2 linked regions of the Canis lupus familiaris genome follow. The protein of the gene in region 2 purifies or fractionates together with the protein of the main gene of each other region. This does not show direct contact. Links are inferred from orthologs where the notes say so. Each region holds a gene or a part of one and is shown on either strand. Other genes may lie near its edges.

The links.
Region 1: the proteins of RAN (region 2) and IPO9 purify together in Homo sapiens (affinity purification with mass spectrometry; 3 studies listed by BioGRID and IntAct, with this or other methods). This does not show direct contact. The link is inferred for Canis lupus familiaris from reciprocal best matches to the Homo sapiens genes RAN and IPO9.

Annotation. Positions count from the first base shown.
Region 1 is NC_049228.1:1,255,874-1,261,786, reverse strand, and holds the start of IPO9 (importin-9), read left to right. Parts: upstream 1-1,941; 5' UTR 1,942-1,991; coding exon 1,992-2,154; intron 2,155-5,913. UniProt on the Homo sapiens protein: Nuclear transport receptor that mediates nuclear import of proteins, such as histones, proteasome and actin. Serves as receptor for nuclear localization signals (NLS) in cargo substrates.
Region 2 is NC_049247.1:1,619,935-1,625,526, forward strand, and holds RAN (GTP-binding nuclear protein Ran), read right to left. Parts: upstream 3,498-5,592; 5' UTR 3,486-3,497; coding exon 3,450-3,485; intron 3,342-3,449; coding exon 3,257-3,341; intron 3,184-3,256; coding exon 3,058-3,183; intron 2,230-3,057; coding exon 2,042-2,229; intron 1,873-2,041; coding exon 1,702-1,872; intron 1,607-1,701; coding exon 1,562-1,606; 3' UTR 1,548-1,561; downstream 1-1,547. UniProt on the Homo sapiens protein: GTPase involved in nucleocytoplasmic transport, participating both to the import and the export from the nucleus of proteins and RNAs. Switches between a cytoplasmic GDP- and a nuclear GTP-bound state by nucleotide exchange and GTP hydrolysis.

The sequences.
Region 1 (5,913 bases), on a different chromosome or scaffold from region 2:
TATATCTAATGTAGAGAAAGCAAATTTGAATCTGGAAAGCAAACCATTGTATATAGTTGCGGTAACAATCATGAAGAGAGTTGAGTTGTCCCCTCAGTAATTCGTTTTAAGCAAAAATTGGTTGACAATGAAGTCCATGGCAGGCCAGCTGAAGAGGCCTTCCTCCATCACTGCCAGAGGCCCCTCTTATCTGGGCCCTCTGTTCCATCAGGCATGTCTCCTCCCGGCAAGATTCATCTGTTCGATGCCATTTGCGTTTCAATAAAGTTATCTCCTGTATTGTCCACTGGCTCTCTGGTCCCCTCTGTCTGGTTTGTCTCCGTTTATCTTGTGGCCCATTCCTTGATCCGCAAGGTGAGACTGCTTGTCATTTGCCTAACCAAGAGGTAAACCTCATCTGCCTGGAAAATCTTCAGATCCGAAGCAGGAGCGCTGGACCCCTTTGGTCAAGGAAGGCTGGGGGTGGGGGGCTGGGGATCCTACTTGCATGCTGCAGACACAGGATCCTTCGCCAGCCCGGATTTCACAGGGTTCTTGGGTCCTCCGTCCACTGCCACAACGTTTGAAGATCCACCACCCTCTGGACCTTCCTGTTTTCTTCCAGAAGTAAAAGTGAATTAACCCAGGGGGAAAAAAAAAAAAAAAAGGTGTTCTAATGGAACAAGGAAAGAAGGGAAAGAAGTCCTACTACCCCTACTGTGGAATTTCAAGGTCCGCAAAGCAATCTTTTTTCCCTATGAAATTGTGGTAACGAGACCCACATGTCCTCTAACATGGGAAGTGACCAATGTGCTCAGAGCTCCCTCAAATCCAGGAACCCATCTTTAGGAAGAACAGTCCAATGGGTGACAGCCTCAGAGTACTGTCCACGTAGCAGTCACGGTCTTAGAACTGGGCTAGGGCTTACCATCTGGTGTCCTCTGCCTCTTGGGAATGAGAGTCAGGGTTCCTAGAAACCATTTTAAGGCAGTCAACCTGAACAGCTTGCTAAAAATCACCTGTTCCTCCTGCTGCAGACATCCCATCCCAGCAACAAGCATCCCTCTACTTCTAAAAGTCGTATTTAACAGCCTTGCATTAGTAACCCCTCTGCATAGTCCCCTCCACTTGCTCCAGCACTTGGGAATCTCTTCCATCAGCCTTTTCCTACCACCAGCCCTAGGATGTCCTCTTGCTCCTTCACCGCTTGGACGTCCAGCCTCAATTTCTCCAGGTGGGGAGGAGGGAAGAGAAATGCATACATTGTCAGCGAATGGGGTCCACTCTCAGGCCTTCCCCTGGAGGAAACCCCCTTCCCGATGCCCTGCCCTCTCCCCCCAATTTTGAAGCTGGGCTCCAGCAGGCCGGAAACAGCGCAGGTGACCCTCCCTACTGCCCAGTGCACTGGGATCCTCTCCCCCTACCTTCCAATTCTTTTTTTTTTTTTTTTTTAAGATTCTATTTATTTATTCATGAGAGGCACAGAGAGAGGGAGGCTGGGACCCAGGCCGAGGGAGAAGCAGGCTCCATGCAGGAAGCCCGATGGGGGGGCTCCATCCCGTGACCCCGGGGTCACGCCCTGGGCCGCAGGCAGGTGCTCCACCGCGGAGCGCCCCCCACCCCGGGATCTCCCTTTGAATTCTTCTTGAAGCTGAGATGAGGCTCACTGGAGCCAATTTTTAGTTATTTTTTTCTCCGTGTTTGGTGTGCGGGGTGGGAGGGAGGCCCGCCCTGCCCCGAGGGGCCCCTACAGCTCCTCCCTGCCAACAAGGTGGCTCCTACCTGCGAGGTCCACGAATCGGGCGTCCTCGGTCGCGGCCCCGCTCCGAGGGAGGCCGCCCCGCGCCCACCACAGGGGGCGCTGTCCCCGGAGGCCCAGGCCCGGCCCCGCCCCCTCCGCGCTCCCGCCCGGCCCCGGTGCGCAGGCGCGGCTTCGCGGATTGGCCGCGCGCGGGCGCCGTCGCGCGGCGGCGGGTCCCTGCCGCGGGGCTGGCGGGCTGAAGGCAAGGAAGATGGCGGCGGCGGCGGCGGCTGGCGCGGCCTCCGGGCTGCCGGGTCCCGTGGCGCAAGGGCTGAAGGAGGCGTTGGTGGACACGCTCACCGGGATCCTGTCCCCCGTGCAGGAGGTGCGGGCGGCCGCCGAGGAGCAGATCAAGGTGCTCGAGGTGACGGAGGGTGAGTGAGGCGGGGCCGGCGCGAGGACGGGGCGCCCCCCCACCCCGGGCCGGACTGCCCGCTGCCCGCGGCGCCGGAGCCGGGGGGGGCGGGGGGAGCCCGCGGAGCCCGGGGCGGCGAGGCCCAGCGGGAGGCCGAGGTCCCCCGGGGCGGGGGGGGAGCCTCGCGGCGGGGGCGGGGCCGGGGGGGTCGCGCGGCCCGGGAGGCCTGTCGGGGTTCCGCCCGGGGCGGGGGGCGGGGCCTGGGCCGCCGGGGGTGGAGTCTGCAGGGGGCGGGGCCGGGGGCCGCCGGGGGTGGAGTCTGCAGGGGGCGGGGCCTGAGCCGCCGGGGGGTCGCGTGGCCGGGGAGGCCTGTCGGGGTTCCGCCCGGGGCGGGGGGCGGGGCCTGGGCCGCCGGGGGTGGAGTCTGCAGGGGGCGGGGGCTGGGGCCGCCGGGGGTGGAGTCTGCAGGGGGCGGGGCCTGAGCCGCCGGGGGGTCGCGTGGCCGGGGAGGCCTGTCGGGGTTCCACCCGGGGCTGGGGGCGGGGGTGGAGCCTCGCGGGGGGCGGGGCCTGGGGCCGCGGGGGTGGAGCCTAGCGGCGGGGGCGGGGCCTGGAGGCCCCCGTGGGGTCGCGTGGCCAGACAGCCCTGTCGGGGTCCCGCCCGGGCAGGGGTGGAGCCTCGCGGGGGGGGGGGGGGGGGGGGTTCGGCCGCTCTGCGGTCCGCGCCCGCGAGCTGCTGCCCCGGCGGGAGGGTCGGGGCCGAGCGCGCGCCCCGCTGGTTCCCGCCGCCGCCCCGCCTCCCCAGGCCTCTCCACGCCTCCGCAGAAGCCGCCTTCAGTGCACGTGCGCCTGGCTCGCCTTCCTGGCCGCGCTCCCCGTTCATTATCGGGACGACCTGCGCTGAGTAAATGCCCCCTCCCCCGCCTCCCCTCCGTGTGCATTTCCGTTCGGAGGAGCTGATCGTCCTTTGTCTTTGAGTCTTTGTCCCTCGCACCCCTGCTCCACGCTCTAAACGGTGGAGGAAAAATGGGGGACTGTTGGTTTCAGACGGCCGGTCGGTTCCCCGCTGCGCGGCCTCCGACCGGACCGCGCTCAGCCAGTTCACAAAGAACGATTTGATCCTAAAACAGGAGGGAAAAATCCTCTCGGTCTCTACGCGGGGCGTCTGCCCGGCCTGTCCTGCTTCCCCAGGACCTCCCCCGGCTCGGCCGCGCTCGCAGACCCCTTCCCAGGCGGGAAATTCCCCGTGCGCTGCCCGGCCGCGCTCAGAACCTTGGGCTCGCGCCCCCCGAGCTGGCCTTGGGGCTTTTCTTTCCCCTTCCATTACACGACAGGGCTGCTGAATGTGCATTTCCTTCTGTCGGAAACACGTTGAGATTTGGGATACAACAGGTTAAGGACCGTTTTGAAGGCCTGATTATGATCGTCATTGTTCCATAAAATGTCAGACTCTACAATAGGGGCAAACCTCTGGTTAGAAGAAAGCTTTTTGAGAGCCACGCATAGATTGATGCAGTTATTAGTCTCCTAGGTAGAATTTTTTTTTTTTTATTTCCATTGTCTCTGCCTCCCTTGGATGTGAAGGAGGAAGAGTGACAAAGCAAAGGCTCCTCATTTCATTCAAGTTACTCCTTGAATGAAGTTGAGGGTCTGATGCCTTCTCTGAATGACACCCGGATCTCCCGGTGCCCGATGTATGTCTGGCACCTCCCTACAAAAGGTGAACCTTGGTGCACATTCTAACTGTCCAGTAACAGGTCCACTTGGGCCCTGGTCCCTTCTCCAGCCTGTGCCTTGGTCTCATCTGCATAGCCTATTACTGTATAAACTCCTTAGGATCTTTTTGAAATTCAAGCCTCTAGCTCCCTTTATCTGTTGGGGGTCTTGAAATCTAAAATTAAAACAGAAATGCAGAATTTTGCATTTGATTTAGGCCACTGACGGGAATAGACTGAAAGGCACCACCTTAACTGACTGGTAATGCGCCATCAGGCATGCTGTGCAGCAAGGAAGGACTAATATAGTGACCGGATATTGGTGGCCTCTAGTACTCAGGCAAGGACTCATGGGGTTAGGATGTGATGCACAGAGTTAGACCAGGTCTCTAGAGTTGATTACCGTGCTTTGGACCCTTTGGAGGCAATTTGTGTATTTAAGTAGGCCACTCCTTATGTTTATTTTAAAACCATAAAAATTCACCCCTTTCAATAACCTCTTTTTAGATGGAGGGTGATGAGCCATTCCTCAGATATAATACCTTGCTTCTCTCCCTGCCTCTTTTTACGGCCTTTACCAAGTTATTTTTTGCCATTGGGTCCAGAGTACCTCCTGTCTTATATACTGCCTGCATCTCAAATGGCTCCTTAACATGGTCACTAGTTTCTTTTCTACTACCCATTGCTTGCCTTTACCTGAAAATACAGGCACCTCGCTTCCCGGCCAGCAGTTAGCCAACTGTCTGTCCTGGTAAAACTAGTAGGATGCTGCTCTTCCTGTTATATTACAACACCCTGCAGGCCAAAGTAGGAACCATTCTTGTAAATGAATGAGCAAACTATTGGCTGCTCCTTTGGAGTTGCTTTACATTCCAGTTTTATCCTAGTGGAAGAACCTTGCTTTCCTGCCCTAGGAAACACACTTCCTTAAAACTTGAAGTAAATGAGAAATCTGAGGGTTGGTGTCTGTTACTATCTGTATTCTGGTCATCTTTTGATTTTTTTTGGCTCCGTGGAGCCCAGTGTTAGGTGACAACCAAATCTAACTGTTTCTAGTCCCTCTGTCCCCTCAAATAACCGCGCTGTCTTTGTGAGTCATTTATTATTGCCTCACATGGGAGAGTGGTCCCAGTTAATCTTTAACCAGTCTGCTCCCTTTGCCAAACAGGTGTACCACCTTCCTTGGTTGCCAGGTGATGACTCTTAATCCTGGAGCTTAAGTGGAAGAATTTCTAATTTTGAGGGAAGGGACACAAATCTGTATTTGTTAACTTTTGTTAAGTGGACCGACAAGAGAGGTTGACATGCTCCGACCAGATTCTTAGGAAGCTGAGATTTTAAGAAGTATCCTAGAAAATGTGAGGTTGCTGGAGCCCAGAGTACATTCTGGTCATTTAGTCTGCCAACTGACATTTTCCGAGAAATAATTAGTTACCATGTTTTCCAGAATGGGAGCCTATTCTTATGTCTCCGCCAAGGAAGTGTATATATGTGAGAGATCCATCTCTGATAGTGGGTTGATGTCAAAAGGATCAAGATAACATCAGCTTGGTATCCTGGAATGATTTTTCTGAATTCTTGTGCTTTCTGTTTTTCCTAGTCCCTTGGAATATGAGGGAAACCCAGCAAACCTTTCTGAATAGAAACCCTATTTAACATGGTTAATTAGAGAAGGAGATGGTGCCACAAACCATCTTCTTCAGACACACTCACTTCTGGAATTGAGAAGCGTATTACTTGAAAGTTTGGAAGTTCCTCTGCTATTACAGTATTCTAGCAGATAACTGGTACCCTTTCTTTTTTCTTAGGAAGATTGAGATTTTGAGTTTGATCAGCAGAGTTTGCAGGAATTTAGTTCTGCATCAACAGTAAAAATAAAACTCTTTTGATCTGTTAGAGCATTCTTCTAATCCTTATTTAATAGGAAAGGTCATATCAAGCATTTTCTAAACATAGTAATTTAAAAAGATTGGAAGGGTTGTGAACTGCCAGAGATCTCTTACATTAAAGTCTAATGTTGGTCTACTGAGCTTTTCTTTTTTGTCTTACTTACAATAAGATCAT
Region 2 (5,592 bases):
ATTTAGTCACGTCACACACACTTGCATTCCACACAGGTCACAAACACATATGCCTCCTATTACGTATCTGAAAAAGGTTTCATCCCAATGATGGGAACGATCTTTTCAAGTCACTTAAAATCTGGTTTTGAACCTAATATAGTGTAACATTTACAGTAATTGAAGTACATCTATTGATACATTTACTCAATATTGAAATTTATTAAATTCTACCCTCTGTATTTCATTTTTCCATATATTTAAGCAACCCCTTCCTACCTTCTTTTTAGGTAAGAAAGTAACCATTTAAGGAGAAATGGACATCTAAGGAACTTTGGTAAACAACCATAGCAGTGCTCAAGTGAGCATAATAGTTTAAGACTCCTAACTGCTACAGTATAGCATCCATGGGGTCAAAACTGAAGACAGACTCCACTCGTTCTTAAATGTGTAAATCATACAAAGATAAATGGTTTGATCCAACGAAACCTTTGCAATGTTTCACGTTTCAAGAAGCCATTCTAAGATCTACTTTTCTATTTAGTGTTCGTGCCTTTGAATTGGCCACAAAAATCCTTCAGAAAAAAAAAAAAGCATCAAAGCTGTGAGATGCCCAACTTAAATCCTTACTCTTCAGCATCTTTAACACTCAGAAATACTTGAAAGCAGCGGGTAATCGTGGAACATCTTTCTAGAGTACCAGCTTCACATTAGACGTTAACATTAAAACAAAATCAAATCAATGCATAACTTACACTCATTTTTAACAAATGAGACTCCTGTCAAGTCCCCACCGTCATCTGTTATCGTTCTACCAGATTCTGAACATCCCTACATGAGAGCACGGTTACTGGTCACAAAATAATGTTAACTGTAATTCTTAAAATGCCTATCCGAAACGTCTAGTAGTTTTGTTCCAACAGGTCACAGAAGTCCAAAGCTCTTCCCCAGGTGACACCACCCAGTCTGAAGGCAGATGCGACGGGCATCGTTTTAGCTTCACCACGGATGCTCACCCCTCTAACAATCTACCAAACGGAATACTGCGGATGTCTGCCCTGTCACCTGTGTGAGAGGATCCAAATGTACAAATAGACAAGAACTTAACCTGCAAAGATTCAAATTAAGGGAGAATAGCAAAGGCCAGTTCAACAGTAACGTGGCACAACTTTTCCTGTTAGTGGTTTTAAGATGCTTACCAAACAAGGGAGGAGTTCATTGGCTTAGATATTTGAAATACAACTTTATTCTGATTCTAAACGAAAAGGAATGGGAATGACAGTGACAAACGAGATTTCACCACTGGATATTGTGATGGGACTGTAGCAGTCTCATTATCTGAAACTCAGGAAGGAAACAACTGCGTTCCAAAACAGCTAAGTATGCAGGTCCAAAAAAATGAAGGTACTGTTTAAACTGCCACATTCACTCCGAAGCCCATTCATCTCCTTCAGCATCCCAAAGATTAAGCACATGTTCTGCTCAGCTATATAATAAAAGTGGCAAACACGCTGCACCACTGACATCACAGGACAGTTGCCTATAAAACTAGACTTCTGACGCTGGCCTCCAGCTGCACTTCTCACAGGTCATCATCCTCATCCGGGAGCGCGGTCGTCTGAGCAACCTGGACAGAGACACAACGTCAGGACACCATGGGTTAGAGCCGTCAGGACACGGGACACCCAAGAGATCCCACTGACGGACCCATCTGCCACCTACCTCTAGATCGTGCTCGTACTGTGCTGCCAGAGCTGGATCCATGACCACCTCTGGGGGGGCAAGAGCAGGCATGGCGACAAACTCCAGGTTAGGGTCTCCAATTAGTTTTCTAGCAAGCCACAGGAACGGCTTCTCAAAATTGTAGTTACTTTTGGCAGAAATGTCATAGTACTGTTCCATAAAATAAAATAAGTTTTTAAAAATCTACTTCTTGAGGATCATTGAAATGTTTAAAACTAAAAATAGTTTTTCCATCCATACCACAGACACAATTTCCTTTAGTGGATCTATTACCGTAGTTTCATCTTAGAGAAAAACAATTAAGTTTTAAAAAACATACCTGAAGGTTCTTCTTTCGGTGGAAGACGATAGATTTTGCCTTAACTTTTCTGTCCTTAATATCCACTTTATTGCCACAGAGCACAATGGGGATGTTCTCACACACTCGTACCAGATCTCTATGCCAGTTAGGCACATTCTTGTAAGTAACCCTTGACGTTACGTCAAACATTATAATGGCACACTGGGCTGAAACAGATGTAGGAAAACTGTTACACATGTATGACTTCTTGCACAAATGAGGAATGCTAAGGAGCACGGGCTAGGGGACAGGCCCAATCTGGCTACCTCTGCTTCTGCACTCACTACACCCCAATGTCTCTCTCTTCCAAGTTTAAGGATCTCCAACCACTGTAATACGTAACAAGATTTAAAGTTTCATTTTCTGTGTGAGTGTGAACTACCAGCCTAGCTTATCAAATCTCTCCCGTAATACTTCATTAATTCCGTCCCATCCCAGAATCTCAAGTAGACTACCGATAGAGCAGCACCCTAAGACAACTGGTCTCCTCTATTCTGAGGATCTCAGAACCTGCTCTTTAAATGATCCTAAACTACACAAAAGAGTATGTTATTCTGCCTTAAAACACGCAGGCCTACATACTGACCTATGAGGAACACAATTCTAATATAATTGAGACAACAAACCGAAGTATGTACAGTCTAGGAGTTTCCTAATTAAACACTTTTTAAGAAGAGAAAAAAAAAGCTGTGTATCTGTAACATAGCAAAGGATGCAAAATATGGAAGGACTCCCAATCATCTTTCATCACAAGAGATCCCAGATGACATTTTCTTCCTGTCTTTATCTGCCACTCTACAGTGCCCTTGAGGGAAAAAAACAAGCAAAAAAACCCCCAACCAGCCCCAACGACTCCGGCAGCCACAGCAGCACCTCGTGGGATGCTCATTGTCTTAGGTGAGGAGCCCGCTCCGGGTCCCGGCTCCAGGCTCCAGGCTCGGCGCTGCGCCCATCATGACACAGCACGCGGCAGCCGCCGGCCCGCCCTCACCCACCTTGGATGTAGTAGCCGTCCCGGAGCCCGCCGAACTTCTCCTGGCCGGCGGTGTCCCACACGTTGAACTTGATGGGGCCCCTGTTGGTGTGGAACACGAGGGGGTGGACCTCCACGCCCAGAGTGGCTGCAACACAAGCACGGCCGTCAGGTCCGCTCGCGCCCCGCTCCCGGGGGCCCCCGCGGCTCCCCCCACGTACCTACATACTTCTTCTCGAATTCACCCGTCAGGTGACGCTTCACGAACGTGGTCTTGCCGGTGCCGCCGTCGCCAACCAGCACCAGCTACGAGACAGGACGCGGTCGCGGGGGGCGGGGGGGGGGAGGGGAGGCCCCGGCGCCCCCCGGGCCGCGCCGCCCCGCTCCCCCCGGCCGCCCCCGCGCACCACCCACCTTGAACTGGACTTGGGGCTCTCCCTGGGCAGCCATAGCGCTGGTGCTGCGGGGAGACAGACGTGGGACGGCTGGCGGCGGGGCCCGGGCCCACATGGCCGGCCCGCCCCACGTGCCCGGGCCCACAAAGGGGCTCCGGCGGCCGGGCCCCACGCGCGCACGCCCGGGCCGGGGCGGGGGCCGCGGCGCGCTCCCGGCGGCGGGCGGGCGGGCGAGCGGCGCTGCTCCGGCGGCGGGTCTGGCGGCGCGCCCGTGGGGGAGGGAGGCCGGGAGGCCGGGGCGGAGGCCGGCGCGCGGGGCGGAGGCCGGGGCCGCCCGGGGCCCCGATCGCGCGCCCCCCGGCCCGCGCCGCCCCGGGGCCGCCGCCCGCCCGGGCCCACCGCGACTGGCGTCCCGGCCACGGTCTTCGGTCTCTACGGCAGGGGACGGCGAGAGCCCGCCGCCGCCGCCGCCGCCGCCCCGGCCCGCACGACTGCCGCCCGGCCCCGGCCCCGGCCCTCGCCCGGCCCTCGCCCGGCCCCCGCCCGGCCCCCGACCCCCCGGCCCCCCGGCCCCCCGGCCCCTGGCCCCCGCGGCCCCCGCGGCCCCCGGCCCGGCCCCGCTGCCTTACCTTCCAGAAGCGTCTCCGGCCCGTCTGACTGAGGGCTGGAAGATGGCGGAAGCGCAATTCAAATGCCCGGAGACGCAGCCGACGCCGGCGCGCGCCGGGGGGGGCGGGGCAACGGCGCCGCGTCGCTCCCACGTGGCCCGGCGTGCGCGCGCACGCACGCCGCGGGCTCGGCCGGCCACACCCGTCGGCCGGGCGCGGAGGGGAGAGTCGCGGCGGGGCGGCAGTCGCGCTCGGCGCGGGCGCGCGGACGCACGCCGGCTCGCGGGGCCACGTGCGCCGGCCCAAGGGCGGGTTCCAGCGCGCGCATGCGCCGACGCCGACGCGGCGCGCCCAGCTGCGGCCGCGCCACGACACTGGGAGGAGAGCGCAGGCCTCTTGGGCGGGAAAGTCGCGGGGAGCGGCCGACACAAAGCCCCGGGCCTCCGGGCGTGGGGCCTCGCCGTGGGCGCGCGGGACGGTGCGCCGCGGGGGAAGCGGGCGCGTGCGGAGGCCTTGGGCCCTGCCCCTGTGGCCCTGCCCCTGTGGGCTCTCGCGGCACCCCGGGCGCTCCGACCCGCACCCTCTCCCGGAGCCGCCCGTCCATCTGCCACCTGCCTCCCCCGGGCCTCCATCACCCTCTCGGCCGCTTCCTGCGCCCCCGGCCCGGCCCGGCCCCGGCCCTTCCTCCCAGACCCCGGTCCGCAGAGCCTGCCCTGGGCCCCCGCCGCACCCCCTCCTCTCACCTGGACCCCGCGGGCCCCTGCCTTGTGTTTCAGGCCCCCCCACCGCCCACACCCGGTGTCCCTGGCTCCAGCCAAAACCTTACTTGGGGGTAAAGGGTGCAAAATCGATGCTTTTTCTCACCCTAAAAGGCAGCCACCCTTTTGTTAAAGCATTTCCTTGGTCAGCAGCCTTTGTGACTGTATCCTGCGCACAGGATGACGAAATCGTGTTTTCAAACCTGGCGGCTCGCATCCCAGTTACAAATTTGGATGCAATCGATGAGTATGTAGGTTCCAGACTGTGGAGACAATAAAGCTGGCAAGAATGCAGACGAGATCCATGCACTCAGAAGTCACATGCTGCTGGGGATGCCCACCTCGTAGGGCCGGTGTAGGCAGAAAGTAAGATGAGCCACAAGCTCAGCAAGTGTTGACAGTTAACTACTATTCATTCTCAGCAAGGAAGTGGGCCAAGTGGAGTCCTCTAACCTCTTACCCTAAATCTAGGGCCAGTTTTTGGCATTTGTGTGGACAGCCACAGATTCTCCATAACCCAGATCCTCTCGGCCCCCTCTGCAAGCAAACATCCGCACTCGCGGCAAGAGTAGTACCGCTGGTGGCCCCATCAGAGTAGTCTGGTTGCTCAGGAAGGATTCCACCGTGGGGACTCTTCCCAGAGCGCAGAGAACCCAGATGACGGAGGAGGAGTTAGCCACTTAGTCTTCAGTGCCCTTTGCAAGCAAACCTATTGGGAACACAAGTGATGCAAATTGGGCACAACACTTGGGCGAATCTGCCTGCTGGGAACTCCAATCCCACTGCTCTCCAGGAC